4 linked regions of the Lepisosteus oculatus genome follow. The protein of the gene in region 2 interacts with the protein of the main gene of each other region in a biochemical or structural test. Links are inferred from orthologs where the notes say so. Each region holds a gene or a part of one and is shown on either strand. Other genes may lie near its edges. The genes, in order: kita, ptpn6, platelet endothelial cell adhesion molecule-like and ros1.

Evidence for each region.
Region 1: the proteins of ptpn6 (region 2) and kita form a complex in vitro, tested with the Homo sapiens proteins (2 studies listed by BioGRID). The link is inferred for Lepisosteus oculatus from reciprocal best matches to the Homo sapiens genes PTPN6 and KIT.
Region 3: the proteins of ptpn6 (region 2) and platelet endothelial cell adhesion molecule-like form a complex in vitro, tested with the Homo sapiens proteins (2 studies listed by BioGRID, with this or other methods). The link is inferred for Lepisosteus oculatus from reciprocal best matches to the Homo sapiens genes PTPN6 and PECAM1.
Region 4: of the proteins of ptpn6 (region 2) and ros1, one has a biochemical effect on the other in vitro, tested with the Homo sapiens proteins (2 studies listed by BioGRID and IntAct). The link is inferred for Lepisosteus oculatus from reciprocal best matches to the Homo sapiens genes PTPN6 and ROS1.

What each region holds. Positions count from the first base shown.
Region 1 is NC_090696.1:78,571,310-78,578,381, reverse strand, and holds the start of kita (mast/stem cell growth factor receptor kita), read right to left. Parts: upstream 3,011-7,072; 5' UTR 2,917-3,010; coding exon 2,853-2,916; intron 1-2,852. UniProt on the Homo sapiens protein: Tyrosine-protein kinase that acts as a cell-surface receptor for the cytokine KITLG/SCF and plays an essential role in the regulation of cell survival and proliferation, hematopoiesis, stem cell maintenance, gametogenesis, mast cell development, migration and function, and in melanogenesis.
Region 2 is NC_090718.1:2,757,494-2,765,291, forward strand, and holds the start of ptpn6 (tyrosine-protein phosphatase non-receptor type 6), read left to right. Parts: upstream 1-4,784; 5' UTR 4,785-5,490; intron 5,491-7,798. Other genes in the region: CD209 antigen-like protein C, read left to right, coding at 64-165, 1,067-1,240, 2,023-2,174, 2,751-2,857, 3,380-3,539. UniProt on the Homo sapiens protein: Tyrosine phosphatase enzyme that plays important roles in controlling immune signaling pathways and fundamental physiological processes such as hematopoiesis.
Region 3 is NC_090704.1:45,207,525-45,215,461, forward strand, and holds the start of platelet endothelial cell adhesion molecule-like, read left to right. Parts: upstream 1-4,931; 5' UTR 4,932-5,026; coding exon 5,027-5,129; intron 5,130-5,242; coding exon 5,243-5,269; intron 5,270-7,937. Other genes in the region: rptor (regulatory-associated protein of mTOR), read left to right, coding at 102-170. UniProt on the Homo sapiens protein: Cell adhesion molecule which is required for leukocyte transendothelial migration (TEM) under most inflammatory conditions.
Region 4 is NC_090697.1:32,854,120-32,861,427, reverse strand, and holds the start of ros1 (proto-oncogene tyrosine-protein kinase ROS), read left to right. Parts: upstream 1-4,300; 5' UTR 4,301-4,361; coding exon 4,362-4,373; intron 4,374-5,158; coding exon 5,159-5,256; intron 5,257-5,955; coding exon 5,956-6,464; intron 6,465-6,747; coding exon 6,748-6,957; intron 6,958-7,308. UniProt on the Homo sapiens protein: Receptor tyrosine kinase (RTK) that plays a role in epithelial cell differentiation and regionalization of the proximal epididymal epithelium. NELL2 is an endogenous ligand for ROS1.

The sequences.
Region 1 (7,072 bases), on a different chromosome or scaffold from region 2:
ATTTAGCGAAAGGCTTTGTGATCAGACAAGAAAAAACTGGACCCTTTTGATCTACATGCCAAGTGTTATATCTGACACAAATACAACATCGATTATCACTCAGTCAAACCCACCCCTGTCGCCAAGCATGGTGGCAGCACCATGTTATTCTTCTGCTTCTCATCAAAAGAAGAAAGCTGATGAGAACATAGACAGAGCAAAATACTGGCAAATCTTAGAGAAAAACCTACTCGGATCTAAAACGCAGACAAAAATTACTTTTCCGCAAGATATACTAGAGAACCAAAGCACAAGGCTAAAGCTGCAATTGTGTGGCTTTAAAATAAGAAAGTTAATGTCCTTGACTGCCCCATGAAAACATGTACAAATTATTTCAACATCTGTAAATACTATACACATATGGAAGCTACTGACTGAAGCTGTAAATGAAAGGTCATTGATTTCTTTGTTCTGCAAAATCCTGGATTCAAGTTAATTATGTACTGAATGTTATAAAGACAGACAACAGACAGCCTGACAGGATACTCAGCCTGCACGCAACTGTGAGGGATAAATAGTGGAATAATTTCAAGGCAAACAGATTTATGTTATTTTCACTTTCAAATAATAGATTAATTTCCAAATGTAGAGCAGCACTGTGCTACAGTGGTCAGCATCGCTGCCTCGCAGCACTGGGGTCCTGGGTTCAATTCAGGACCAGAGGTGCGATCTAGAGCGTGCATATCATTCTCCACTTGTTTGTGTGGATTTCCTCCCATAGTCCAAAGACATACTGGTGAGTTAACTGGCTTCTGGGAAGACTGGCCTTGGTGTGAGTGTGTCTGTGTGTGTGTGGCCTGCGATAGACTGGGTGTATCCAGGGTGTATCCTGCCTTGCACCCTTTGCTTGTTGAGATAGGCTCCATCTCCCCCACAACAACGTCCTGGATAAAGCAGTGTAGAAAACAGACTGATGGACAGATTCTAAATGCCTAATTTTAGCTCTAAGGTTTACCCTGCGTACCCTCTAAATCGGAGGGCTAATAAAAAGTCCACAATGAACAATCGTGACCATCGGACTTGCAAGGACAAGACAAAAGACTATATTCAAATCATGTATTGCATGACAATTACATTACAATTTTGTACATGTAAACATGTACAGAGTTGTAAATTCCGCAGACTAGGTTTGTTTTGCTTGCTCCTCCAGTCACACACCTTCCGCCTTTCCTCACCGAGTTTGCAACTGTTTAAAGATCCAAAGAGAAAAAGATTGTGCAGTCAAAAGCACATAAGAACACACTCTTTGTCATTTTTTGATACAAGGGCTGGATGGCTTAACTGCTTTAAAACTACTAATGCAAGATTATAGCCTCGCAAAAAGTCAGATTTGTAGCATTAGGCTGTGGGATAAGACGGTGTTTCTCCAATACAGACTAATTAGATACTTGTTTAAATGGGAAGCCTGTTATTACTGCAGAGAAAAACACTTTGGGGATTTAGCTTGTGAGCGAAAACAGAAGCATACATAAATTCACGCAGTCCTGTCCTCTTCCGTGAAGTCCTTGATGACCAGACTGATACAGCTTGGACACTGAGCTTTAACTGTCTCCACGAATGTAACAACAATCCCTGTCTTCAAGAGAAAAGAAATACGTCTGCTCCTTTACATCAGGCTATGGTATATTCATTTAGATTTGCTCAAATTACCGCTTCACTGTCCAGCCAAAGCGCTCTGACTACTCGTACTACTAGTATCACGTTTCCAAACCGTTTTCCTCAAAGGGGCTACGGTTGCAACTTTAATTTAGCAAAAGCTTTGTTGCTTTTATAATGAACGTACGTTACTATCATACGAGTTGCAAGCGCTGGAAGTTTGTCTTGTGTAAGGCGTGATCCATTCACTGCCGAAATGAAACACTACCTACATCCGTGTCCAGGCAGTTTTTAAAGCACCCTTAAAACAAATACGGCCGCTCCTTGATGCTCCACCTCCACGTTACCTGTCGTACCTAACAACAAAGTCAGTCTGCTCCGAAGCGCCTTTTAATAACATGGTATGTTGTGCAGCAAGCATGCAAATGTACTTTTGTATTGTAACGACAGAAAAGAAGGAATCGATTTCTTCATGTAAAAAGTGGTTAAATAGATCATTTACGAAGAGGAGAATGGAGAACACACAGCATTTTAGTGATATGTAATTTGTTGTACAATAAATGTTTTAAATTATTAACGAATTAAGCTGTTAGTCGAATTCAGCGCCAGCACCCCTGCCGATGCGCTTATCCTGCTACGTAAGCCAGTGGTGTCGTGGAGTACGACATTCATATTACAGGTGCTCTGTTGTAATGTATCTCTTTATAACTTTTTGTAAATATTAAATAAAAGAGCAAAAGTCTAAATACATGTAACATTTTTTCCACAACTAGCAAACAACTGTTACATTAATGAACTGTAGTTTTTTTTCACCGATATCATAAATAATTCACTATATTATATGCATGAAAGAATAATGTAACTTTAGGGGTTAAAACTAATATTTTATAGAGTCCTGTGCTGATAGATGTTATTAATCCAGTTCACATAAATTTAAAATGAGAAAGTGCTTTCCTATGTTAGGTGCAGAGAATCGAAACAATTTAAAGTTAAATTATACACTAACCATTTGAGATACACAAACAAGATTTTGACATCCCCAATTAAAGTAACTTCATCCTCTTAAAAAAAACTTTAGTTTAAGTTTAGTTTAATGTAATTAAACTTAGATTTCTTAAAGTGAAATCCTGCTCCGTTCAAGCATCACTGATAAATCATCAAATTCCTACAACACGCATTAGCGACTTCAGCCTGCTTTCACCGGTGAAGAACCCTACCTTTTTCAAACCATAACAGCATCAAGGTAAACAACGAAACCCAGGTATATCCCATTGTTAACATTCCATTTATCTGTTTGTCCACCTCTCTGCTATAGATCTGCTTTGTCGCCTGAGTTGCGCAGCACTTAACACTACAGCCTGCTTCGTTCCACCTATTCAAGTCTTAAAGGCGCAGAACACTTCCTACCAGCAGCCCTTCAGTCTGTCTCCAAGACACCACCGCAGGAAGGAAGAAAGAAGAAAGTTCCTTTAAACGTAATATGATTGGCTTAATTGGATAATTAAATTGTTTTACAAGACTAAGTTACAGTACTGCAAAAAAATTAAACGAACTTGTAAATATATCAATAAAACATTAACAAAATAAACCTCAGCTGCCAAAGTTTATTTTTAATGCTAAATTCGTGTATTTTAATACACTAGTTTCTTACTGTCACCTCGAAAGCAAACTAGTCAGTTTTTCTGTACCCTGAAACACTGGGCACAACGGAAGTGTCCCACAAGCAGGGATTTTGTTATTCTAGTTGACCTCGTATAAAATACATATTTTATGTGGACTTTGTTTAGTTACAGTGTATAAGTGACACCTCACATAATGATTGGGCTTTGAAGTCAACATTTGCAGATCTCAAGGATATGATATCTTTGCATTGAATCATTCATCTCTAATATCTGCAGTATAATTTTATAATCAGTATGACAATTTTCTGTGGTTTGTAATGCTTTGATCATCTTAAGTAGTGAAATTATTAAAGATGCTTATAGTGTCAGAAAATGAACTTTGTGACCAAATTCCTGTCTTTCAGTTCCTTTTTTTGTTTGTTTTTGACTGGTCTTTCACACCAGAGGTGGTGGCTGCCAAGGTGCTTGACTGGAACAAATATGAAACTGTCTGCAGAGCTCAGTGTCTACCTCGGGGTAAAATGCACTTTAAATATGACAATATTTTGTTAAAAAATAAGTTACCTTCATAGTAGTGGTTGCAAACAACTCCAAGAACTCGGTGCTTCTAAAGCCTCTTTTCACAGTATGTCAAATTCTCAGTGAACACAGTGTCTGCTGATTTGGAATTCACGTTCCTCTTATTTCTGTGCAGATGAATTTTTAATGATGTACAAAATTCTGCCAACAGCTGTAGCAGATATCCTTCTTTAGTACAACTGTATAAAAGGATTTGACATCAGGGCAGACATGATGACATTTGCCCACCAAGTGTCTCTCTGGGGGCTGAGACATAAGCAGGTTTTATGACTTTGAACAGTGATCCAGGAATCTGTGTCCAGGAGCTAATCTGTCTTCTTTTCAACATAAATATGTAAAATACAATTAGTTCCCAAGGGTATAAGCATATGTTGTCAGTTATTTTACACACTTATTAAGAAGATCAAGTGTGATCAATACATGTCGCACACAATTTAAAAAGATAAAAACTATGGTTTTTAACTCTACTATAATTGTACTGTATATATATATAATGTTCTATATAGTCAATTCATTGGCCGTGTATATTTGTTTTGTTTCAGTGGATTGTGGGATTTTGAACTGCTGGGTGGGGGACACTGAGGTCTATTGGTATGTCATTAACTCTGTGGATATTTGTGTTTCTGTGCTGAACAGCTGTGTTTTCATGTGTATGTAGTGGGTTAGGCTCCTTCAAGTTAGTATAGAAAACCAATGTTGTTAGTGAAAATGCAAAGGGTAAAACATCTTTTTTAAGAGAATCAGAATAATAATGAGGATAAAGGTCAGAGTTCTTCAACATTTATTATTTCTTCCTCATAAAATGTGCTTCCATTCACAAAAGCAACAACATTTTATGAAGTAGTTCAAGTAGGAGGCTGCATCAGCATGCGTAGCAACAACAAGGACACAGGCATGCCTACTGACGTTCATGTTTGCATCCATCCATGCAGTATCCCAGTATCTATAGTGTATACAGTAGCTGCCATTGCCAATGGCCAAAGCCAAACATAATATAAATGTCAGGCCTACATTTTAAAAGAAATCTGTTGTATCTTCCATCATAAATTTGCCATTTCACAGTGAGGAATTTTGGAAGTGTTGACCGGTTGTTCTGAGTGGTTTTGGGGATACCCAAGGGGAGACAGATATTCTTCACATACTCCCATGAGATACCATCCTTTTGCCCAAGTTCCTTGTAGTGTTTTGGTGACACATATCTGTCAAGGCTGCAGGGTTTACTTAATATTAGGGTGTATTGAAACAAGTAGTATTCCATGCTGAAAAAATAAGAGAGAAAACACAACATTTTGGCTGTAAAGCCTTCTTCAGGTGTGAGAAAGACAGGGCAGACAGCAAAGATTAAATAGCACGAAGAACAAAAACTGAGAGAGGGGAGGAGGCGGGAGGGATAGAGAGGCAGAAAGGCCACTCAGGAAGTGCAAAGTGTAGAAAGGTGAAGAAAGGTGTGAAGTCAAAACCTGCATGAGAATAGAGAAGATTACACAAAAATAAGTTGGTCATTGAGAGAAGGGGGAAGGTGTGAACCTAGTTTCAGGTTGAGTTTTGTTTCTGTTGTCTTTCTTCTATGAGAATTGAGAAACCCTTCTTTGAGAACAGAGACAGTGAGATCAGTGTGATCATGGCCGTCTGAAGTGAAATGAGAAACTATGGGCTTGGAGAAATCTTTAATCTTCACAGCCTGAACATGTTCGCTGAAGCGGTCTCCTACTTTCCGGTTTCTCCAACATAGATAGCTGGGCATTTTTTGCAGGACATACAGTAAGTGAGGTTGCTGGAGGAACAGGATGTTGTCTGGGTGATTCGGAATTGACCTGAGGGGCCCTGAATGAACGTGTGTATTTGCCGGTGATGTAGCAAGTTCTATTACTGGGGAAGGTGCCGAAGGTGCGCTCAAGGGAGCTGAGAACCAGATGTTTACGTAGATTGGGTGGTCGGCGGTGTCACGGTCATCATCCCTCCTCTGGAGGGCGCTCCGACCTTTTAGTATTAGTTCCATGATTGCGTGCTCCTGTCTCCTGTTTTATCCGTCACTATAAAAGTCATGTGCCTCCTAAATTCTAGGTTCAGTACTGGAAGAGGAATGTCTGAAGGCCCGACTATCCACCATGCTCAGGAGAAGCCCGAGGGCAAGGCCTTTTCCCCAGGCGTCCTGACCATCTGAGTCTGGGTCTCGGAGCGCCTTGCTTCGTTATGGTTTTATTTTCCATGTTCCTGGATTCCTTTTTTCCTGTCTTCATCTTGGATTGATCTCCCAGCTGCCTGGACTGTATTTCCCTTTTGGACTCCCAATGGACTTGTTCAGAACCACCCCCTGTCAGTCCTCCCATCCATTCTTCTCTGAGTCTTCCCCATTGCTCTTTTCCAGTCACTTCCAGATTATACCGTCTGCACAGGGTTCTAAATACGCACTACACGGGAGTCAAGACCGGCTCCCGTGACAGGCCGTATGAGATGATTGGGCGGTCAGAAAAAAGGGTATCGATGAAGGGATAACCCTGTAAAATGGAGTAGTTGTTAATAATGGTCCTGGGGATAGAAAGTGTGTTAGAGTGGTAAGGAAGCACCAGTGGAATGCGGTTGTGAGACCAGAAGTGGTGCATTGATTGCAACATGTGGAATCTCACAGTGGTGTGGGGGATTTCATCCTGAATTTGGCTGCGATGTGTTAATGTGTTCAGTCATGTTGTTTTATCATTATGGAGGCAGAGTCTAGAGGCATCTGTGAATGACATAGTCTACACAAGACCCAAATAATTTCGTAGCATTAAAAAACAGGATCTGATACACAAGACAAAACCAGCTAAAGTACACACTCAGAAGTCAAAGACTCATGATGTTTTTGTTAATAAGGCTGCAAAAACTTGCCACGCAGAAAAAAGCTTAAGAAATGAGAGGGAACATTTCTTTTCCATTTTTCTGCCAGTGGAGTGATGATCCAATAGGCTCCTCTTGCCTCTTCCCCCAGACTCGTCCACTGCTCACATGTCTCTGTGGGGGAACTTGCCTCCTGTACTTGTTAATAATCTCTTTGATGCCTGTCCTCCTGTCTTGAAGCACTTCAGGAAACTATACCAAGGAACTATTCCTGTTTTTAGTTGACATAGACATTGTTAGATAATGTATCTTTACATTATATGTATATATTTGTTCATTGTATCCATACACAATTTCTTTAATGAGCAACATACAACAAAAATACAAATAAAGATCAAAATTTTAGTTCATAACACCAA
Region 2 (7,798 bases):
CCTTATGTCCCAGAGTGAGACATCAGCGTATGATCTTATGTCTCCTCATGTCTGTGTTCACAGTGAAAGCAGGGCGCGGGCCCCCTCCTTACAGACTGATCGCAGTGTTTCTGGGGCTGCTGTGTGTTGTTTCACTGACTGGCTTCATAATCCAGTCTGTCTACTGTGAGTATAACGCTGTGTGGAACTGTAGCCGTTTAATAATAATAATTATTACTAAAATTATTATTAATAATGAAGTCTCCCCCACTGTCCAATGGTGTGGTAGTGATTTTTGATGTGATAAGATCCGTGGATCTTTTGCTTCTAATTGCTAATCTAATTGCTTTTAGGAATTTTTGAACAATCTGATCTGTACGGATACCACCAATCAAATAATAATAATAATAATAATAATAATAATAATAATAATAATAATAATAATAATAATAGTAATTCCTACATTTATACAACAACTTTTTGGACACTCCACTAAAAACACTTTACAGGTAATGTTCTAGCCCCACCTAGATGATGCACCAGTCCTCTCCCCACACACCAGCTCTTAGTGGGATGGAGAGCAGAGTGATGAAGCCAGTTCAGAGAGGGGGTTATAAGGAGGCCATGATTGGTAACAATCAGGGTAAAATTGAGTCAAGACACTGGGGTAACACCCCTACTCTTTTCAAGAAACACCCTGGGATTTTTAATGACCACAGAGAGTCAGGACCTCAGATTAATGTCTCATCTGATGGACAGCACCATTTTTTTACAGTATAGTGTCCCCGTCCCTATGCTGGGGCATCAGGACCCGCACAGATTGCAGGGTGAGCGCCCCCTACTGGCCCCACTAACACCTCTTCCAGCAGCAGCCTCAGCTTTCCCAGGAGTCTCCCATCCAGGTACTGACCAGGCTCACACTGCTGAGCTCCAGTGGGGCTGCCAGCGCTGAGTCACAGAGTGATCCAGCTGCTGGCTGAGAACTTGTGTCGCTGCCTGAGTTCCTTTGTCAGCAGCTTCCTGCCGGCCCGATACCAGTGCCTGCGTGCTTCCATATGGTAAAGACCGAATGTCTATTCCCCACCAGGTAACGGATTCCTTCACGTCAACCAATCACAGAGCTCTCTACCAAGAAGGAACGAGCTGGATGAGCTCAGTGCAAACTATTCTGCTCTGGCTGCTGCCCATGAGAAGTTAGTGGAAGAAAAAGAGGAGTTAAAGAGAGAAAACGAGAGACTCCTGTCCCTGAACACAGATATCAGTAAGCACTTTCACATGCAATGTTACTGGAAAACAGGCATGATGGGGACTTTTTTATTCTGACACACAAAACGAATCATCTCTGCTTTGTTCTGCACAGTCTGCTCTCCCCAGTAGCTGAGCATGCCTGATAGCACAGCTCATTCGTGCTCACGAAGTTACCTACTGTATCTTACTGAAAGCATTTCCAGTGTAATGAAGGGGGGGTTGGTTGTTCAGTCCTGTGACGGGTCAGCCCCTGCGAGGGGCAGAATAACTCTTTTGTTCCATCCCGCTGCAAAATCCATTTAGCATCGCATTGATCTCCAGCACCTGGGTCGCTAAAGCAATTAAGCACCCATTGAATTCATTTTGTCAGAAAGGTTATAAAGTCAGGACAGCGTGTTGGCCCAGTGGTAGGCATTGCTGCCTTGCGTGGGTGCTCCAGAGACGTACTGGTAAGTTAATGAGCTGCTGGAAGAGCATCCCTGGTGTGAGTCTGTGTGTGCCCTGCAATACACTGGCGTCCCTCCCACAGTGTATCCTGCCTTGTGCACGTTCCCTGCCGGGATAGGCTCTGGCTGCCATGTGACCATGAAATGGATACAGGAGCTTAGAAAAGTGATCTGAAGGAGATTCAAAGTCCTGGCAGGGCATTTAGACACGTTTGTCTAACCACTGGGACAAACGGAGGGCTGGGATGTCCCCATACACTCAAGAGACATGGGATTGAAGTACACTGTGTTGGTCAGGGAACTGGACTGAGAGGAATCTGCTGTCACTCTCTGCGTTCTCCCTGTACAGAGAGGCTCTGCAAACTGTGTCCTCAGGACTGGGAGTTTTTCCAGTCCAAGTGTTACCACTTCTCGACTGGCAGGCTGAGCTGGAGGGACAGTCAGGCTGACTGCAGGAGCCAGGGGGCTGACCTGGTGGTCATAGACAGCAGACTGGAGCAGGTAAGTGACTATGAAGGGGAAGGGGGGCGAACGCAATTGGGGAACCATAGCGTGTTGACAAGAGATGTTTGGGAAGAAAGCTAGGGCCTGATCTTGCTTATTTCCTCCCAGCCATCTCCCTCTCTCCCTGGGACCTCCCTTCACTTATCTCTCTCACACCCTTGTGGCAGCTCCTCAGCTCATTCCTTGCACTAGTAACAGGGCGGGAGGGATCAGCCTCATCCTAGTAGCTAGGCTGCCTTTCCCTCAGCTAGGAGAGTAGGACCCACATGGACTGCAGGGTGAGAGCGCCCCCTACTGGTCCCACTAACACCTCTTCCAGCAGCAGCCTCAGCTCTCCCAGGAGTCTCCCATCCAGGTACTGACCAGGCTCCCACCTGCTGAGCTCCAGAGGGGCTGCCAGGGTGATGTGGATGTTGGCAAGTTCACAAACAAAGGGAACTAACCTACGTCTCCCCACCAGACTTGACCATAGCACATCGATTGTATTTGGGTGGGGGGTTTCTAGTAGCGCTCCCTTTGCTATCACGTTAATAACCAGCATCACGGATGAGTAACTCTGTGTCTCCCGCTCAGCTCTTTATATCGAGACAGAGCAAGGGAGGCAGTTACTGGATCGGACTGAGCGATGCCGCCTCCGAGGGCACCTGGCTGTGGGTGAACGGGGCCAGAGAAACCGGAGGGTGAGTTCGGCGGAAACGCCACCGGCCCCTGACTGTCTGGGCAGAACCGGGAAGAAACACACGCGATGGCCGCGGAGAGACGTTAAATGGAGAGATTCTGCTGTTATTTTATATTTTGTTAGACCTGATTCGGCGAAAGGGTGTGTTTTTCCTATTAATCTGGTCATTATTTTGGCGAAATCCACAGAAGTAAATGGTCCGATACCGCTCCTGTCCATTCGTGCTTTTAAGGTCGAATTGCTTTTATATTTAAAGAATCAAAAGATAAGACGTGCAATGGAAACATGTTAAAAGCTTTATTTTCAGCTTTTGTCACTGAGAATTCCCCTGGCTGTGAAGGGCGTCTATTTCTGTATCGGTTTGACTATGTTGTCTCCCTTTTCGTATTTTTGATGTTTCAATGAGAAACTGTTCAGTTCCAGCTCAGTCCTGGAACAGCAGCATCGCGCTTCACTGCTCTCTCCTGCCAAGAACAAACAAAAAGGCCGGAATGAGAACTAAACGTGAACTGGAACTTGACAGGTACTGGATGCCGAGGCAGCCGGACAATCACCGGGGCAGAGAGAACTGCGCCGTGATCGCCTCCCGAGCCGCGGGAGCCGTGAGGAACTGGAATGACGAAGAGTGCGGCCGGACCCTGTCCTGGATCTGCGAAGCCGAGAGTCCCCTCCTCTCCGCTTAAGACGCTTGGCGGCTCCGAGCAAAAAAAAAACACCCGTGCTGCTCTTCCGGAGCCGAGCGCCTCGCCATCAGTCCACGGAGAGCCCGAAGAACCCACAGGGCAGTTTTGGCTTGCGTGACGGCGGTGTGAACAAGTCGTAACTGCGCTTCACGGGCCGATCCGCTCGCTTCGCACTTCACGCAGGACGCAAGCAGCTACAGAGGAGGACGGCAAGGTGATCCAAGGATCACGTAGCTCCAAAACATTCAGTTCAACTCGGCTGCAATTAAGAAAGCAAAAAAAAAAAACAACAACCCGTAGAGATGGGGAATTCTGACCTTGGACGTTATGTGGATTTGGCTATTGAAATTGATTTTTTTTTAATCTAAATGTGCTTTGGTGTTCGCTTCGTGCTCAGCAGCTGAGCTTTTTTTTGTACTTTTGCCTTTTGTACAAGCGTACGGAGCCCGGGAGGGGCCATCGGTGTGTGTGTGATGGGGAGTTATATCGAGGGAACGATTTACGATTCGTGCGCACGAAATAACGTTTTCTCTTTCTTCCGTTTTCGCACGCACATAGAAAGTTTAAAACGCCCGCATTGTCCCCTTCTCCTGACGACAACGCTTTCAAACGCTAGTTAACATGTTTTTATATCGGTACAATAAAGCATATCTGACACTGCTGTAGATAAGGATAATGGATAGAGATGAACTGATTAAGTTTTATTTTGGTTTGGGGATGAGTTATTAGGGCACTGTAGCTACTGTACTCTTCAACTATCGGGACTGCACCTCTCTTTCACTGCTAGTGCCACGTCAGTGCTTGCGAGGGGGTTAGGAAACGTTATTTCGTGCGCACGAATTAAAGAAAACGGGGGCACGATGTAGGTATTTCGTGGGCGCGAATTTTAAGTCGTTCCCTCGATATAACTTTGTTTTCTTACTGATGGTCCGGCCTCCGAACCAGCGCGTCCTCCTGACTCTGCAAACCCCCTCCTGCTGTCGCGCTCCCTCAGATAAATGAACCACTGAGACCTGTCACTACTGCAAGAATCACATTTTGTTCTGAAACTCCAGAGCGAATAGCGTATCGAGTTTTGTAGGCGGTGCAATAAAAACCAATGTGTGCTCCTGTGGATATCCGCTTCAAAATGTTTAGAATAAAAAGTTACTATTCTGCACTTGACAGAACATGTTCTGTGCCTTCGAGCTTGTAGTATTCTGGTAGCCATGGTTACCCTCGGTTCCATGCATTCCAGTGGCTATGACGACCATGGATTTGCGGAAGGTGCGGTGTAGTGCTGTACGGCAGAAAAGCCAAACTACAACTCCCATCAGTCTTTTAGGCACGCTGGGCTTTTGCTGAGGGCTCATGGGTATTGTAGTTTTTTTTGACCGTGCCATTTGGTTAGCATTAAGAGGTCCTGGCAGACTGCGTGTTCACACACGAATCGCCCCGACATCATCGTTACTACACTTCTACAAACATCCCTGCCGACACTAGGGGAGAGAGTTCAGTTAGTTCGCTAGTGCTCTCTCCACTCGCGATACCTCCCCCCGTGGCTGTTACACGACCCCGGAACCACGCAGAACCACAAACCAGGTGCGCTTGAGGGGCAACCAGCCATTTTCTCCCTTTCTATCTCTTTCTCACCAGCTCTGCAGGGCTCCACTTCACCGTTATACTAACGGCTCACAAACCTAGTTAATATGTAACTCGACGAGTACAGTTTATTGTAAAGATTTAACCAGCGCTAAGCTAATAATCCATTCCCCTTTCCGTTGACATTACAAGGCTACCCAAGTGAATCATTAACTGACGCCGTGTGCCCCCAAGTGTGCAGAAGCCAGCGCTTCGTTCGCCAAAGTGCGCATGCTCTGCCCTCAAGCATACGTCAGCGTGCTCGCGTATAGGATAGCCGTCGGTGTCGAGTGACCCAGCAGCGCTGTCCGGAGGAGAGGGAGCTGAAATGGTAAAGGCACATCATTCATTTATCTCTGTGGTGCAGCCGTTCCTGAAATAAAACCGAATGGGTGTCGCTGCTGTACCTTTCTGTCTTTATTTTGAGCTCTGTAGCTTTCAGTTCCAGTGTATCGTATGTCAATAGCAAGCATATCAGTAGTTCTGATGTGCTCTCTTCTTACCTGTTCAGTCTGCGTTGAGTGCACGTAGCCTACTCTTATTGCGTTAGAGACATACAGTATACACACAACAACGTGACCTGAACTTTTTAAACTTGCCCATTGCTTGAAATACGGCAAGTCGCCTTAGACACGCATAACAAATTCGTCCCCATTTTTTACATGACAAGGTGTATTTGCAAAACAGCCGCTGGGGTGCCCCCAGAGAAGCTTTGCAACTTCCCCGTGTGTGTCGCTGATGACTTTTTGAGCGGCCGTGTAGTAAAACGGAAAAGGATTGGACAGGAGGTTTTGAACGGTTCAATGGGGTGTCAGTTTGTATCAAGGTTTCGATTGGGAGTATGGGAAATGTAGTCTTTCTTCAGCCGGACTGTGTATACGTCAAAGTCCCTTCTTTGAGAGTTTGAAAAGGTATTAATCAGCATGGTGCCGAGCTACCAGAGACACAGAGAATAGCTTCTTCTTTGGTAAATCGCAAGAAAAGGTTACAGATTACTTTTAAATAATGCAAATTATTAAAAGAGTTGTTATTGGTTTATCAGCATTGCTTCAGATTATGAAACGTTGCTGTTTATCTCTAATACATTAAATTACGCTCAAGATGTAAGGGGATTTTTCGCAGAAAAATGTAAATCGGAAAACAAAGACCCAAATCTCTTTTATGGTACTGAAAGATCTCACCTTTGCTGTTTCACATTTCAAGGGTTATTATCGTCTGGGGGAAGTTTGTTTTACGTCATGGTCCAGTACAATAATATAACAAGGAAGACAAAGATTAGATAGATAGATAATACTTTATTAATCCCGTAGGGAAATTGATGTGTTACAGCAGTCCAGCCCAAGACAAGCAAAACAGACATCAGAATAGTTATAAAACAAAAGACAAACAAAATAAATAAAAATAAATACATAGGTGTGTGCAAAATGTAATCAGAGAAGACAGGACAGTAGTGCCCAAGGAGTTCATTTACATTGTTTGGGACAGATATTGCAGAGGGGATGAAAGATTTCCTAAATCTGTGACTTTTAGAGTTGGGGACACAGAGGTACTGTATCTCCCCAATGGTAGTAGTGTAAATTCACAGTGAAGCGGGCGAGACACACTCTCCATAATGCCCTTGGTCTCCTTTAGCCATGAAACCAAAGCAAAATTTAGCACTATATCTTTTATTATCTCCCTTATTTGCTGTATCACAACACGTTGCCCGTTGGGGATAATAAGGACTCTCTCTCACATGCTGTTCTACATATTTGGTGAGTTGAACTTTTACTGAATACTGTGTAAATTATATTACAAAAGGAAAATAAACAGCTCGATTAAAGCTATACCCGAGTGAGATGTTGAAATGTTTGCATGCAGAAGTTTATTTGTCCGCTTTGCGAGTCTGATTAGAGCTCCGATCGTGTGACAAGTGTTATATTGTTACTCAGCAGAGAAATCAAATCGTTTCATTTCAATAGAAACGGATTGAATGGCGGGTGGCAGTCTGTGTGGAGTTTGCATGTTCGACCAATGTTCGCATGGGTTTCCTCCCACATGCTGGGCTGCTGCCCCCTACTGGACATGGGGCTGTACTTCCACGAGTTAGCAGACGCATGTAAACAATAATTATATACATTACCTCTTGTAGAATAAATGCTTTTATCTGGCACTTAAAAAAGCTTAAGAAGGTCTTATTGCAGAGTATGTTTTCTGTTGTTCTATATTTTTTACTGGCGTCTGTCTGACAACGATATTTCTAGCTTTGTAGCTGGGTTAAATATAGAGCCATGCGTGCTTTTGGAAACTACAGAGTTCTGCTCCGTGTGTGGTGCCAGTGTGGTGTCAGGAATATAAAAGTGTCTGTTTTATTTAAATTAGCAGATTTTCTAAATTGATTACTTGTTGTTGACATCAGTTTGATTATTTGTGATTTAACACAATACACATGCACAAGAACTAAGTGACATAAACAAAATAAGTAAAGTCCTTACACTTATGTAGTGCCTTTCTGGACACTCCACTCAAAGCGCTTTACAGGTAGTGGGGATCCCCTCCACCCCCAAGCAGTGCGCAGCCCCACCTGGATGATGCGACGGCAGCCATAGTGCGACAGAACGCTCCCCACACACCAGCTCTCAGTGGGGAGGAGAGCAAAG
Region 3 (7,937 bases), on a different chromosome or scaffold from region 2:
GCGCTGGTGTTCCTGGTCTTGTTAAGGGCGTGCCCAGCTGCTCGTCCACACGGCCGTGAGTTCTGCATCATGTGTGACCTCGCTGTTCTTCTCTCTCGCAGCCCCACCTGGCGGTCGGCAGCAACGACTTCTACATGTCCATCTACTCTGCGGAAAAGAGACTGAGATAACGCCAGCACACTGGCCCCTGCCTCACGAACCCCCGAAAACTGATGTAAATTACTTATAGTGTACATATCCAAATACCAACTTGAATGTCTAGTGATGGCTGCTGCTACTCATAAATTGTCATTATTATTATATTATTATTATTATTATTATTATTATTATTATTATTATTATTATGAGCTACTGATTGTAGATTTGGCTGTGCTGAGGAGCGTGTATATTTATTTGCCTATACAGGTTATAGAAATATTTTAAACCACACAATGGGGGTGCGCTGCCTTTGTGGGTTCCTTGCTGTGTGATCCGCGCCTGTCCGAGGACGGGGGGGGCGAGGGTTTGTCGCTTGCACCCCCTGAAGAGGGCGTGGCGCGGAGTGGCGGGCGGCCTTGCAGTTTATCGTCCCGCTGGAGGCCCTGCGAGGGGGCGTGGCACACAGCAAAGCAATAAAGTGTCAAATTGACAATTAAGACTCCCACTGTGGCACAGCCTTATCACTAAGTTACACCCGATGGGGATATCTGGTATTGCGCCCTCGTGTCTGAAATAACTCCAGTAAGGACTCGGGTTGCTCTTGAACCAGGAGATTCCCTTCGTATAGCTGTTTGAGCTATGAAATTGTACTTCAGCCCTTTTCACCTTTTATTGTTCTTGTTCTTGTTCTATCCCGCTGTGCTGACGTTCACGCTGGGATGGTATCGGGTTTTGCTCCAGGGGTGTTTTGACAGCAGAACTGTGATCGAAGGGGAGAGTGCCCCCGCCCCCACAGTGCCCCCCAGGCCAATGGACGGGCCCCGTGTGGAGGAGTGGCCTGCGCGTGATTGGCTCTCTCTGGGTCCGTCCCCTTCCTCGTTGGGTTCCTGCGCCCCTCTCAGGACCTCCCGGAGCGGGCAGCCGCGAGAGAGAGAGAGAGCGCAGCCGGTGGCCGACTCCCCCTGCACCCGTGGGTGATGGGAGTGTGGCACTGCCACCCAGCCGCTGCCAGGGAGTTTTAACACACCAGCATTGCCTTCCTTTCAGGGTGGTGGTTTTTTTTTTCCTGCGTCCTCCTTCCCTGTTGGGCTGTTTCGTGCCGACCGCAGAGGGCCCCCTCTGCCGCGTGCGACCTGGGGGAGCCCGGGTCTGCGTCTGACCACCCCCCACCCCACCCCGGCCTGTCGGATCACGAGACAGACCTGCGGGCCTCGCTGCAGCGCTGCACAGCGGGCCTGTGTGTTGCGCAGAGGCTCGTATTCTGGACCTGCTGAGGACGCCTACCCCTCCCTCCCTCCCCCCTTCCGATTAAAAGGGATAAAGGGATATTGTCTTCTACGAGCGACGGACACGCTTTTTTCCGTTGTTGTTGTTTTTCCTTCAGAAGACGGGGGTTTCATTGCGAACGTCCGTTTGTAGGACGAGGATGACCGAGCAGGAGGTCTCGATCCGGTCTGTGCGCAGGAGCGGAGGCGACCGCGGAGGCCGTGGCGCAGGGGGAGGTCGCCCCGCTGCCCGCGGCTTCCCTGCGAGACTCGGAACCGCACAGACTGGTGCTTTCACACCCCTGCTTTGTCCCGACTGACTGTGTGCGTGCGGGGCTCCACGTTGGATCTCGTTGTCCAGCGGCGTTCATATTCAGCTTGTATCACGTATATTAATCTGTTAATTGCATCTCTTTGGGTGTGCTTTGTATGTTTTTGTTTTTATTATTGGAGATTTTCTTTCTTTTTTTGGGGGGGGCTTTTTAGTTTTTGGCTTTGTGAACCGGACTCCTCCCTGGGCTGTGTAGGGAAGACATTAGGGGTGAACAGGGTGATGGGCCACGCGATGGCCTTGGACTTCTTCAAGCGGTTAGGCTTCCCAGTTTTTTTAAAATGTGGTAAAAATCTTTCATCAGTTCAGATATCTGCTTGGCTTGGTGTCTCTGTTTGACTTGTCATAGTTAGAGAGGATACTAAAGGCTACTAAAGGAGGCCCACAGACTGGCCTGGCCGCCAGCAACACTTGGTCTGCTGTCTAATCCACGTATTGTGCTCCACTTCGCACTATCTCCCCCTAGTGGAAGGGGGGTGGCATTACTAGCTTATATTCACAGACAGCACAGCTCCCACTGTCCAGCCACTATGTCCTCCTCTGTTAAAACCTGCTGTGAGACGTTTTAACATTTTAGAATAAGAAAAACTAAAACATATATATATATACACACGAATGATTTAAAAAAACAATCAGGTGTTCTCCTTGGCTGTAGAGACTGCTTTGTTGAATGTGGTTTGTAAAACAGGAGAAAACTCGGCAATGAAATAAACCAAATACACACGAAACCTTTTTCACGCCTGTTCCTTGGTTGCGCCAGTGCTTGGGCTGAAGATCCTGCCTGTCACACAGTGGGCTTGACCGCGTCTGCTGAAATGGAGTGAAAGTACCGGGGAGGCGCTGCCCTGTATGTAGATTTTGCTACGTGGAAACATTTTATTTTTTTAAGCACATCAATGAACAAAACCCTCCACCCTTCAAAGCTCTTTGTTTAAGCTAACGCCAGACACTGTAGATTGTGTTATCAGTCCTGTGTGTCCGGCAGGCGCTTAGTAGTTTCATGTCGGATAACTTTCATTTCATTAGCTTTGTTTCTCTATTCAAAGTCTGGGATCCTTGAACTACACAGCCCTCTTTTATTTAGGCCTAAGGTGGAGAAGGGAGGCATCAGTGAAATCTTCCTGCTGCATACTGGTACGTTATGTCAAGAGGGAGATTACTAACTCTTTGCATTTCTGAGGGAGTTTCCTTTGTAGAAATGTTAACCCACTGCTATCCGTGCTCGTTGCTTTCAGCGCTCAGAGGAATGAGGTACTGTATAAGAAACACTTGGAAGAAAGTGCATGCCGTACACCAGAGGTTCGCCAGTGTGGAATGTGGAGCTTCTCCGGTTCTCGGGACCTTTTAGCACCCCAAAGTGCAGGAGATCCCCCTGGAAGGAGTGTTGGGTTGTTGTGGGGTCACAGGGAGCAGAACACCCCTGAAATGAGACCAGAAGGTCAGGAATGGACAGAGCATGAACTCGGCAGAAGAGGTAATGCTCTTCTTCACATTTCCCTCAAACTGGTTTTGTCGTGTTGGGGGTGTGTAATGCGAAGAGCAACACACACACACCTGTTTTGCTTTGCAGCAAGTGGCAAAGCTGTGAATGCAAAAGTAATCCTTGCTAGCGCCCTTAAGTCGCTCACACTTTCATCAATCATGTTTGCTAGAATCAATAGTGTTTGTAAGAAAAGCAATAGTTCCATCAAGCCAATAAGATGAACAATAAATCCCCCCAAAATGCGATTATTAGACCAGATTATAGAAGTGTGCCGAAATGCAGAAAAAAGGTCAACGTTGCTCTGAATGTTGGTTGCAGGGGTGGCTCAGGCAGCGACCATATGTCTAATCTGATCCCGGTGCATGTGAGCAGAACCTACCCCAGCCTGACTCTATTGCAACCCTCTCCTCTCTGTGCTGGCGCGGAAAAGTCCAATCCAGACAGGTAACTTGTGACTTGTGCCTGCAGTTGGGTTTTTTTCCCCCATTGTTAATACACCGAGCAAGCAGCAGATGGAAGCCCCTTCGACTGAGGCTTGCCTTGTCATTCCCACACATGGCCAGTAGAGGGGGACCAGGTGTTTAGTTTGAAGCCAGCTGGATGGGCATCAGAGACGCAGGAGTCCAAACACAGCAGCACACAGGAGTTTGACCCTGCTGAGCAGGAGGCTGCTGCCATCTCAGGACACGGGAGGGTGTTCAGAACGAAAGGGCAGTCTGACTCATAAACGGAGAAATAAAAAATAACTTGACCTCCCTCACTTCTCCTTTCACCAGCCCTACCAAAGACATCATAGATGCACAGACAAGATACTCTTTTCGCACTTCAGCTAATAGTTTCTCACGTGGGTCGACTACACCCTTAACCGTCTTCACATCTGAAACCACCAGACCAATTTTCAAAGAAGCAAATGGTCACGGGATCACTACCAAATATATTTTCAGAAACATACTTCACAGTGTCTGTTGTGTTAGACCGTGGGAACATATGTACATGCATGTTCTCTTCGCTCTCTGATGCAATTCTTAAAGCAGGAGGGCACAGGTGTAAACCGCGAACAGGAAGGACTGCTTTACACAAAGGGTGGTGGGAGCGCGGAACAACCTACCCAGCCACCGTGTGGAAGGCATTAGCCTGGGCTCTTTCAAGCACTACAGAAAAAGGTATCCCTTTAAAAATATGTAAGCTATATATTAAAGTTATTTTTAGTCAACACTATAAAAGGAGTGAACTTATTTTAGTGTTGGTATTTGTGTCTCTTGGTCATGCAAATAATATTCCAATTTAAACAAGCGAGGGATTGGGAAAACAATATAGGATTTAGAGGCTGATGGGCAGAAACAAGTGGGATCTGCTACTGCTCAGACTGGGGAGGAGAGTGCTGCACATATTCTGCAGTCAGGAGAGAGGCATCCTTTATGGACCAGACCGTCTGGAGAGACAGGGCTGCAGGAGTGTGTGTGAGGCAGGTGGGTGAGGGTGGGGGGGGCGTCTCGGGGCACATCGGGTCCAAAACAGGTTCCTGTGCCGCTGGGGGGTGCGAGAGGAGTGTGCTCCACAACGAAAATCCCAGACTGCGCTGAGCTGGAGCGCACATCCTCAGGAAGCAGCAGTCACTTCCTGGAAAATTCAACAAAGCCAAGAAGGTTCCGAGTGATAACTATAGCCCCCCCGCCCTGCACAGGCTCCAGCCTCCACACACACACACGGACTCACACCCCCCTGTGCCAGAGCCTCCCTGCCGCTGCACTCCGGAGCTCGGCTCACTCCCTCCACACTGGTTGCCATTTCAGAGACACCACCACAGCCATGGGTTCTGGGACCAAGGCTCCTGCGCCAGGGTTCGACAGGAGGACTCCAGCCTCTCCCGGGATGAAGCGCTACTTCTTCCTCGCAGTGGTTCTCCTGACCTGTGCGTGCAGACACGAGTGTTATTTTCAGTTGTCTGATGGTTTTGCTTTAGAAATCCTTTTCAAACACGACTGTTAGAAGTGAAATAATTCTCTTCTTTTTTCCCCACCCCAGCTGTACCGGGTGTCAAACCTCACACTGGTAAGTGTGGAAATTTTATTCCTTCGACAGTTTTGTTTTAACCTCAGGCAATTACCATCTTTTTATGCAGGAAAGCAGAACAAAAACACTTTAATTCACTTAGACAGGACAGCCAGCTGAAGCACCTTATCTCCTCATCCTCAGTCAGTAGTTATCTTTTGGAGTGGAAATTTTCCCAACCTCTGCTTCCTCTGTTTTGGGCTGGGAAAATGTTGTATTTGTGGACGGAAGAACTAGCAGAGGAAAGAGTGAAAACTCACGTTTCTGCTTTGTCAGGGCTGCTGTTTTGTTTTTGCTTTCAAATCTTTTCCTCTATTTTATTCAAAAAATATTTTTTGAATAGTTTTTCAAAAGCACAAGCAAACGTGTTCTAGGGTCACCATGTTGTGTCTTTCCATGGTGACTCTTGAGCTTCTGGGGGTCCGCTTTGTCCAGCGAAGGCAGCTGGTAGCGGCACAAGTGTCCAGAAAAAAAACGTACAAATAATTATTTTAGAAATGAATTTCACTCAACAGTTCACAAAGCCAGGGAGGGGACAAAACTTTTCTTAAGCCGTGAGACACCGACGTCTCATTTGCGCAAAATTAGTACTGAAAGAAAAACAACAAAAAGTCAAAATCCAAAGCTGACGTGTACATTTTAAAGGACTTCAGAATCTTTTTTTTTCTGAGTAGCTACGTAAACCTGTTCGATGAAGGTGCTTAAGAGGTTTGCAGTCTGAGGCTTTGAGGGACATGTTTTTGTAGACTGGTGATCACATGAATTGTCTGAAATGAGACGTGTGAGAAAGAGAGGAGTCAGTTGCTTGATCTGATCCCATCAGCCCATGCTGGTGGTGCAGGAGCCAGGATCCCAAGGGGGTGAATCTCCAGTGCAATCAGGAGGTCGGGTGCTGCTTAGTGTTAAACAGTGGACTCTGAGGCTCATGTCGAAGAGAGCAGGCAGTGGGGATACAGTTCATGGGCCACTCCTGTTCGCTGTGCTACGGCCTGGCCGCTGGTGTTTGTGGCTTGGCTTGCTGTGGCCCTGGGTGGGACAGGATACTAAAATAATGCTCCCTGTGCCTTGTGCTGCCACTCCCCTGGGGCTCTGATTTTCTGTTGCTCTAAAAAGGCGGCTTTCCTTCCTGAGGCCTCCTCTGTTTACTGATGGGGTCTTGGCATTCCTCTGTTCTCGTAGGAAAGGAATTCTGCTGCAGCACTGAGCGCGCGGGGCTACAGGACAATAGAACCGACCTCTTGCCAGAATTGTTTCGAAACCTGTTTTTTCCCCCTCCTTCGGCATGGTTTTCACGACTTCATGGCAACCTGAGAGCCTTTAGGCGTGGATTTGATTGTGCATTTAACCACTCTATCGTGTCAATCAGCCACAGCAGTATTTTTAAACAATGAGAACATTACAAGCGGTAGCACCTATAAGTCAATTGACATTCTCCCCGCAATATTCTGAACCACTAATAAAGGTCCTAAACAAGAGAAGGCCATTCAGCCTATAATGTTTAGTGTGTTTAGTAGTTACCGTAGTAGCTAATTAGCATTTCAGTTTCTTGTTTGAAAGAAGCCGGGGCATCGGTTTTGAGATCATGGCTGTGTGCTGTAGCTTATTTCAGACTTTCACGCGTTCCCACACAGTTTGCACTTGTGTCTGCGGGTCCGTGCTGCGCTGGTGACCGAGGTCCTCGGGGCTGATCTTGTCGGTGCCTTCGAGGGTTTGAAATACTTGAATCGGGTCCAGTCAATATTCTCTGTTAAAGACCAAGAAGGTTGTTTGTTTAGCCCATCAGTCGAGGACAATGCATTGAGCCCAGGAATGTATCTGGAATAAGTGCGGAGCAGCTATATCGTCTTGGTCATTTTGGAGGGGAAATTTGTCGTCTTTAGCAACCTGTAAAAAACTCCAGCAACCTCTAGTAAACACCCACAGAGAATTATATTGTATGCTAATTGTCCTGTTTTGGTATCACCAGTGTGTCTCACTAGTTTACTATCAGAATCTAGATCACTTCTATAAATTAGGAAGAGCACTGGATCTAATATGTTACCTATTTTTTCTTGGAAAACCCCTGACCGACATTCATTTCAGCCATGAGCTATTTACCTTTCATCAAGCACAGGATTCTCCTTGATTATCCCTGAGAAATGTAACTTCTCCCCTTATCGTTCCTTTACTGTAATAATGCAGAAAACCTTTCATTATTTATTTAGTGTCCATTGCAGTATTCTTTATCAGCTCTTTAAGAAAAAAAATATCCTTTTGTACCAGTGCACAAACATGGGTTTGGTCCGCACATAAATTGTTGTAGAATTTACGACGCATATAAAAGATTGTTAATATTGTTTGTCATAAACAGTAAAAATGCATTTGAAAAAGTAACATGGACTACTACTCATATATTATCAATCTTTTTATGTGAGTAAATACTCAGTAATGCTTTCTATACAATTAGTAAGAAATGATTTGGGGAAAAACTAATAATAATAATAATTAATAATAATAATTGCTTACACTTATATAGTGCTTTTCTGGACACTCCACTCAAAGCGCTTTACAGGTAATGGGGATCCCCTCCACCACCCCCAGTGTGCAGCCCCACCTGGATAATAATAATAATAATTGCTTACACTTATATACACTGTAGCGCTTTTCTGGACACTCCACTCAAAGCACT
Region 4 (7,308 bases), on a different chromosome or scaffold from region 2:
TTCTTTTTAGCTAGATCTGAACCACATGCTTGAAGCATGTAGTTTCCAGTTTCCCACTCAGTGCTTCTCTCCTTTTGTACTGAAGTTCCCTCCAGTGCGCCTGTGATACAGAGTGTTGCCAGCCTGGGTCCTGACACTGTGGAGATCAGCTGGTCCCCTCCTCTTCATCCTGGAGGACCAGTTGTTGGCTATAATCTGAACCTCCTCAGTGAGAAACAGAGTCTCCATCAAGTTGCAGGGAGCAATGTCTTCCAAGCATCTTTTTTCCCAACACTCCCCAACACTACATACAGGTAATCTTTTTCAAAAAACTTTCTAAGAACTAACCTTGAATTGTGATTTGTCTCTTCTCATGTAAAACTAAGGACTATATGATAAAAAATCTAAACAGAAATGTTTCCTTTTATGTTTTAGAATTATATAAAAAATAGTGAAGAGTTTCATTAAAAGTGTAAATGAAACTGTGTATTATGAAAACTGACATACAGTACTTGTGTAACAAACTGCAACACAATATTGTTTACACGTCAGCTGCATTACAGTAACAAGCAGCAGCAAACATAATAATCTGTAATTCTTGCATTCAAAAGAAAAAAATTCTAATAGATTAAAAAACCTTAATTAAAGTACATTGTGTTATTAATTTACTGTACCTTTTAATATTTAAATTCTGTCTAAAGAGACCAGGTTATCTATTATTACTTCAAAGACATAACAAATATTAAATCTGTATTAAATATTAATTAAACATTTTATTATATAAAGTGACAAGAGAATATGGATTTTACATTTACAATAGATTTAATAACTTTAATGTTAGTTTCACTAGTGTTAATACAATTATTTTTATATTTATAGAATTATTTACAGTTATTTAAAGGACTGAGATTACCTGGTTTTGGCCTTTTATAGAACCAGGAAACAGAACTCAAACCTGTACAAGAAGGAAAGGAGAAACATATTTGCCATAAAATAAAAGATTTTACTCTTGTACAAAAGATCTTGTACATAATCTGTTAAAAAAACAGATGCTAAACAAATGGAAACCTTTCTCCCCAAAAGAGTGTATGGTGATACAAGCAAGACATTTATTTCATCTGGGAGGTACAGCTAAAATAAATAATTATTCCTACAACTATAAGATATCAGTCCCTTTCTAAGATACTAAAATCGATCTCTTCAGTGCTCAAATTGCCTGGAAGACTTCTGTAGTCGGGCATTCTGAAGGAGGAACCCACTCATGATACAGTTAATTTTCTTTTTTATACCTGCCTTGACTCCTCTCTTGAAAAAGTCTCTATACTTTTTGGGCCCACTTTTAACTGTACTGTTCCCAGGAAGGCTTAATTACCTCCCAGGTTTGATCATCGTTAAATATGAGTAAAATTGTCTGTTCACCTGGACTCTGGCCCCTGTGGCTTCCTCAGTCGATAAGATAAGGGACACCTATTCTATAGTAATGTGTTCCAGGTGATTTGGTGCACTGAGCTCTCCCATATCCAATTCTGTTCATTTGTAAAAGCCAGGATATTATAGTTTTAAGTCAGTGCTGGAACATATTTAAGATAGTGTGATTTGCTGGATTAATTGTCATAGAACATTATTTTCTCTTAGGGGTGTGGGACAGCACCATATCACCAGACTTTCCACGGTACTCCAGTAAAGTCAGAAAGTTTTACTGATAGGGTAATTCTATCAGTAGATTGTGCACCCGTGCAGAATTGGGAGGGTGTGGGAGATCAGGGGAAGAGTAGATGGCAGAGTTGGAGATAATTGTTACTGAACAACTCATACAGATGAGGGTCCCAATTATGAATAATTTAGTCTTATTAGTTCTGTGGCACAACCCCTCACCAAGTCTTACAGGAACTGCTGTAGTTTGCTAGGAAGTTTGCTGTTTTGCCAGCAGAAGAAGGATGGCGGAGACTAATTAATATTACAAGTAGGGTTGCTGCTTTCTGAATCTGGGCACTACAGAGTTTATAGTACTCTTCTAGTCCTCTAAAGAGACATTACTTCTTCTAGACATTTTCCTTCACAAAGAAGGGAGGCTGCTGTTCAACAGACAGCTGCCATTGATGAATAATAGCAGGTTTGATATCCTGTTTACCTGTGTTTTAGCAGATGGCTTAAGGCGCGAGTTTGAGACTGTAAGGTTATACTGGCTTGTAAAGGAACCAATAATATTCTATTGTGCTCGATCCACAGATGTCTAGTTTTTCCATGTATTTAAGAAGGAGTTCTCAAAGGTTACTTACTGGATGAAAACACTAGAAATTAGAATGCGGTCAGACTAGGGTGGGCAATGATCTTATAGTTTTAGTTTGTGGGAGTGGAGGGAGCATGGATCAGGGGTGCTCAATCGGTTTTCCTCTGGGGATTCTATCCTAAAAGCAGAACCCCCTCTTTTTAATACACTTATTAATGAAAACTTAATAATGTGATCATTAAGGGAAACTGCAAAAATATGGGATTAATAAAGAACTCTGGTTTTATCCTGAGGAGAAAAGGGACTTGTATAAAAGTAAATCATTATAAGGATCTGAAGGATCTTCCTGACACACATTGGACATTATCTTGTATAAGCCACTACTGCAAAAAAAAAATTGGAGATAGAAAGTATGAGATACTCTACCATCAGAGCAACCAATCTCTGAAGAAAGGCATTCTTTCACCCAGGACTCGATGAAAAGTGCCCTCTTCATTTACAGACAGCGATGACATTCAAAGTTTCATACACCGCTTAGATTGAAGCCAGAGATTGAATTATTTTTGCAGGTCTGGGTATATTGTTCACAGGCATTATGTTTATTCTTTGGATAAAGAAATCTAAAAAGGTGAAATATAAGTATGAGCTGGCTAATTTTTTACTGAGACTGGCTCAGCTGGCTATGATTAAGAGTATGATGAATAATGTGACTAATGCTCCAACAAGAGCTGTTTGCTTATTAAGGACTCATCCAACAGACTGAATTGTTTCTAGAGGCATAGGCAAGGGGGGATGTAGTGTGTTCTGTGGCAAAAAGGGAACCAATGTTGACATGGTAGACAGATTGAAAATGACTGATATTGTATTTTTTAATTAATTAACAAGGTTAATTTTAATTGTGATGTTGTACATGGTTATTTAATCTGCACTGCATTATGTCAAGGGTAGTGAATGGATGACTGTTGGTATTTTTCTGGTTGAGTTTTGGGGTTTGCCATTACAATTATATGTGTGGAGGGATGTTGATGAGCTTTGTTTATATGATTTTCAAAATTTAATGGAAATAAATGTTTAAGACCTGAAAAAATCATCCTTCTCTCTGGAACTGAACTGATGCTTAGACATAATGAACATGCTTTCAAATTTGTTTTGGAAGGATAATCATAGCTGCTGTAAATACAGAAGGAGAAGGACCTGCAGCAGAGAGGAATGGGATAACAACGGCAAAAGAAAGCAAGTACATTTGACGATTGAGACACTTGTCAGTTTGATCAAACTGAAATTAAACTAGAGCTGCAGCTCACATCTTTATGTATTTTCACTTTTTTTTAGCCACCAGCGAAAAACAATGGTTAATTCTGTCACGAATGAATTCATTGAGGAGGAAGACTGTGGCAGATTTATTTTCAGGAGCAGAGTGTCTTCCAACTGAATCAATACAATATAATATTAGTGGCAAGTATAATTCATGACAAAACTAACACATTTTCCAGTGGTTTCACAGAGCATAACTACTACTAATCCTGACATTGCTATTGTTTATTCAGGTGACTATTGCTAATTATCCATCCATTTTCTAACCACTTCTTCCAATTCAGGGTCTCAAGGCAGGCTACAGCCTGGACAGGATGCTAGTGTATCACAGGGCAGACACGCTTACAAAAACTCAGGCCAATTTTCCCAGAAGCTTATTAAACTACCAATATGTCTTTGGACTGTAGAAGGAAGCTGGAGAACCTTGAAGAAAACCTGCTTGAACACGTGAAGAACATACAAAGTCCACACAGATAGCTCCCTGGTTCCAGATCTGAACCTAGGGCCACAACGGCGCATTGCAGAAAAGCTAACCCTGCCACTCCGATTGCTAATTATGCTCTGTAAAACTACTTTTTTATTCTTCCATTACAAAAACAATAAAGAAAAAGATTACTCAGAAAAAGAATATCTGATTCATATTTAAATATTGATTTGTTTTTTAGGGATTTCTGCAAGCTACAACTCCAAACATATTTACTTCTCTGAAGGAACCCACATCTGGAGGAAAGGAGCACTCCATTTATCTGACGTTTCAGATCTGAAAATAGTGTTCACTGGTCCTGTGGAGATCACGTCAATATCCGTCGATTGGCTGTACAAAAATATTTATTTTGTCATGGGTGGACAGGTACAAACCTAAAATTACACCATGTGATGCCTTTCTAAAGTATGTCTTTGTCTATGTTGGTTATGATTCATATATACAGTAGGGTCTTGACATCTGCAGATTTATCTTTTGTGAATCCAAGCTCATCACTCACAGGATAAGAGTCCCACACTCATGACATATCACCCTCGTCACCCACAAACTGGACTGTAAGATCTTGTTAGACCACATGCCTTGGTCCCTCCCTTCATGACCTCTTTCTTCCACGATACTGATTCACATTTCGCGGACTCCAACTTCTTACACTTCTTACATTTTGAATTATATTTGCAGCTCCTCCTCCAGTGTTAATCCTCCTTGTCTGTGATGTTCACTATTTTGCAAATCATAGCAGACTCTACATTACTGATATACATTTGTTAGTGGTCCTTATTCAGATTCCTGTGTTTATCGCTAGTTGCATACATTAGCTTACGCCTAATTTTTAATGGCTAAGAATTTAAAAGTTAAATAGGTTTTATTACACCAATTTAAAATGACTAAGTCTAAGTCTATAATGTAAATGTGCTTTTCAAAATGCACTTTTATGCAAGTACTTAGTCTCCAGGTTTTTAGTCTTTAGGCTTAGTCTTCAGGTCTTTAGTCTTCACTTTTAGAAGTACTTCTAAAAGTACTTAGCCTTCAAAAAGGCTTTATGCATCTGGAAAAAAAGTTTTAGTAATTATATTTCTTTGACTCTCTAATTGTGATGAATTACATCATCATGTGATGTTAACCTGTTATATGATGTTTCCTCTTGAGTTTAGGTTTGCTTCTGCAGTATAGATGACTGCAACAACACAGTGGACTTTATTGCTGCTAACCACAGTTTTCCCTCAAAAATTATTGCAGATCCTTACAATGGGTAAGCATGCATATACAATTCAGCTTACAGATAAAAATTCAGTTAGTGTCTTTGTGAAAAATATGCCAGATTTTGTTTATTTTTGTCCATTTTTGAAACAGAAAACAATATTAATAAATATTTTTTCTATAATTGTACTTATTCTGATGGTGACATTAATGCAGTTTTATGTGTTTATAGAAGAGTTCTGACTGTTCAATAATTAAAGAAAGGATAAATGATTTGGTCTGTGCTTACATAGGGTATACAGTAATAGCATTTGACTGCTGGATCTTGACAAATTGATCGGGAGACTTTAATTTTTTAATTAATAGTATAAAATCAAACCTTCAGGTGTAGTCTTCTACTGACTGTTTCCTTACTATTCCAGAGTAAGTTAAAAAAGAAATTTACAGGACTGTTTTTAAAATCATGGATCCATTGATTGTGCCTACTTCCTTATATGATGCAATATCAGCAAATAATATTCCTCACTTAATGACTTTTCATTATCATTCATGTCGAAAAACTATAAAGTTTATGTTTTTATGATGTTTAAATACCATTATAGCATTATTCATATCCTGTTCTTAAGAAACCATGAACAAACAGTAGTATGGATCATGAGTTGGGTTTTACCCATCTGTTACTGATTTTAAAAACCTTGGTATATAATTTTTACTTCACTGATGTTATTTTTAATGTGCTTTTCTTTTTCAGATACATATTCTTGTTGGTGGATGATGGGATTTATCGAATGTCTCTCCCACAGCTGCCTGGGCAGAAGAGTTACAATGGCTTGGTTGTGAGAAGTGACTTTATTCGAGACTTTGTTGTCAGCTTTCAGTCTAGGCGACTGCTGTATTTTAATGAAAGTGATAGAAGTATATCATCTGCCTTTCTAGATGGCTCATCTTTCAGCATCATTCGGCCCCCTGTAAGTCTGGTAGACCCAGTGATGAGTCTTACTTATGAAGACAACTTCTTCATGCTCACAGATGGAAGAGCAGTCTTCCATGAGACACGCCTTGGTGATCTGTTTTTCTACAATGAATACGTGGTGGACTGTTCTGTTCCTTTTGAGTACTTTGGGTTTGACAACTTGTACTTTTTTAGTGAATTCAGTCAGCCATATCCAGTACCCAGAAGTCCCCAAAATGTTCGGGTCTTGTTTGGATCAAACAATGCTTCCTTGAAGTGGGAGAGACCTGCAGCAATGATTGGATCAAGTGAGTGTGCCAGTACAATGTGTCTTATTATGATATATTCTAATATACTCCAAAGTATAGTAATTGGTTGGGCTGCCATGATTCATATTTTGATGTTCTTTTTCTTATGTAGATCTCCTAACTTAGACAGCCCTAAATATTTGTGTCCAGTGAAGCATCTATCACCATAATAACGATGTATTCTTGGAACAAAATCCAGAAAGAATTGTATTACTTTATAGCTGAGTATACTGATAATACATTTTCAAAAAGGGCACTGAAATCTAGATTTTCTTCCCTTAAGGCCCTGCTGCCTGGCAGAACTGGACATACACTGTGAGGATTTCTGCATTTAATTCATCTGTGATAAAGGAGTACAGGGACATTGTTGACACACAGATGGCTGCTGAAGAACTGGTGAGTTCCAGCAGATATAAAATGACTATCTGGGCAGAATCACCAGGAGGGAGAAGCCCACCTTCCAAAGCATTTGAGGGAACAACACAAAAAGAAGGTGAGATATAGCAACTATAGCAACTACTTAGCATGGGCTGTGTAAATGCAACATTGTATAATAAAATATATTATTCTTCAAATGATTCCAAATAGGTAGCTGTAGAAGTCAAGAATGAGTAAAGAGAAAGCAGTTTGCAAATGGTAGAACGTTTACACAGAACTAGGTGATAAAACTGCCTTCACAGTTGGGTCTATCTCAGTGTTTACTGTTAGTAACTACAGTACCTTTGCTGATGAACTAAACTACTGACTGAGCAAAAAGAATTGGCCTCCACAAGTACTTTTCATTAAATTATAGAAAGCAATCATCAGAATTTTACAACGAGACATTTGTTTTTACAAATGAAGG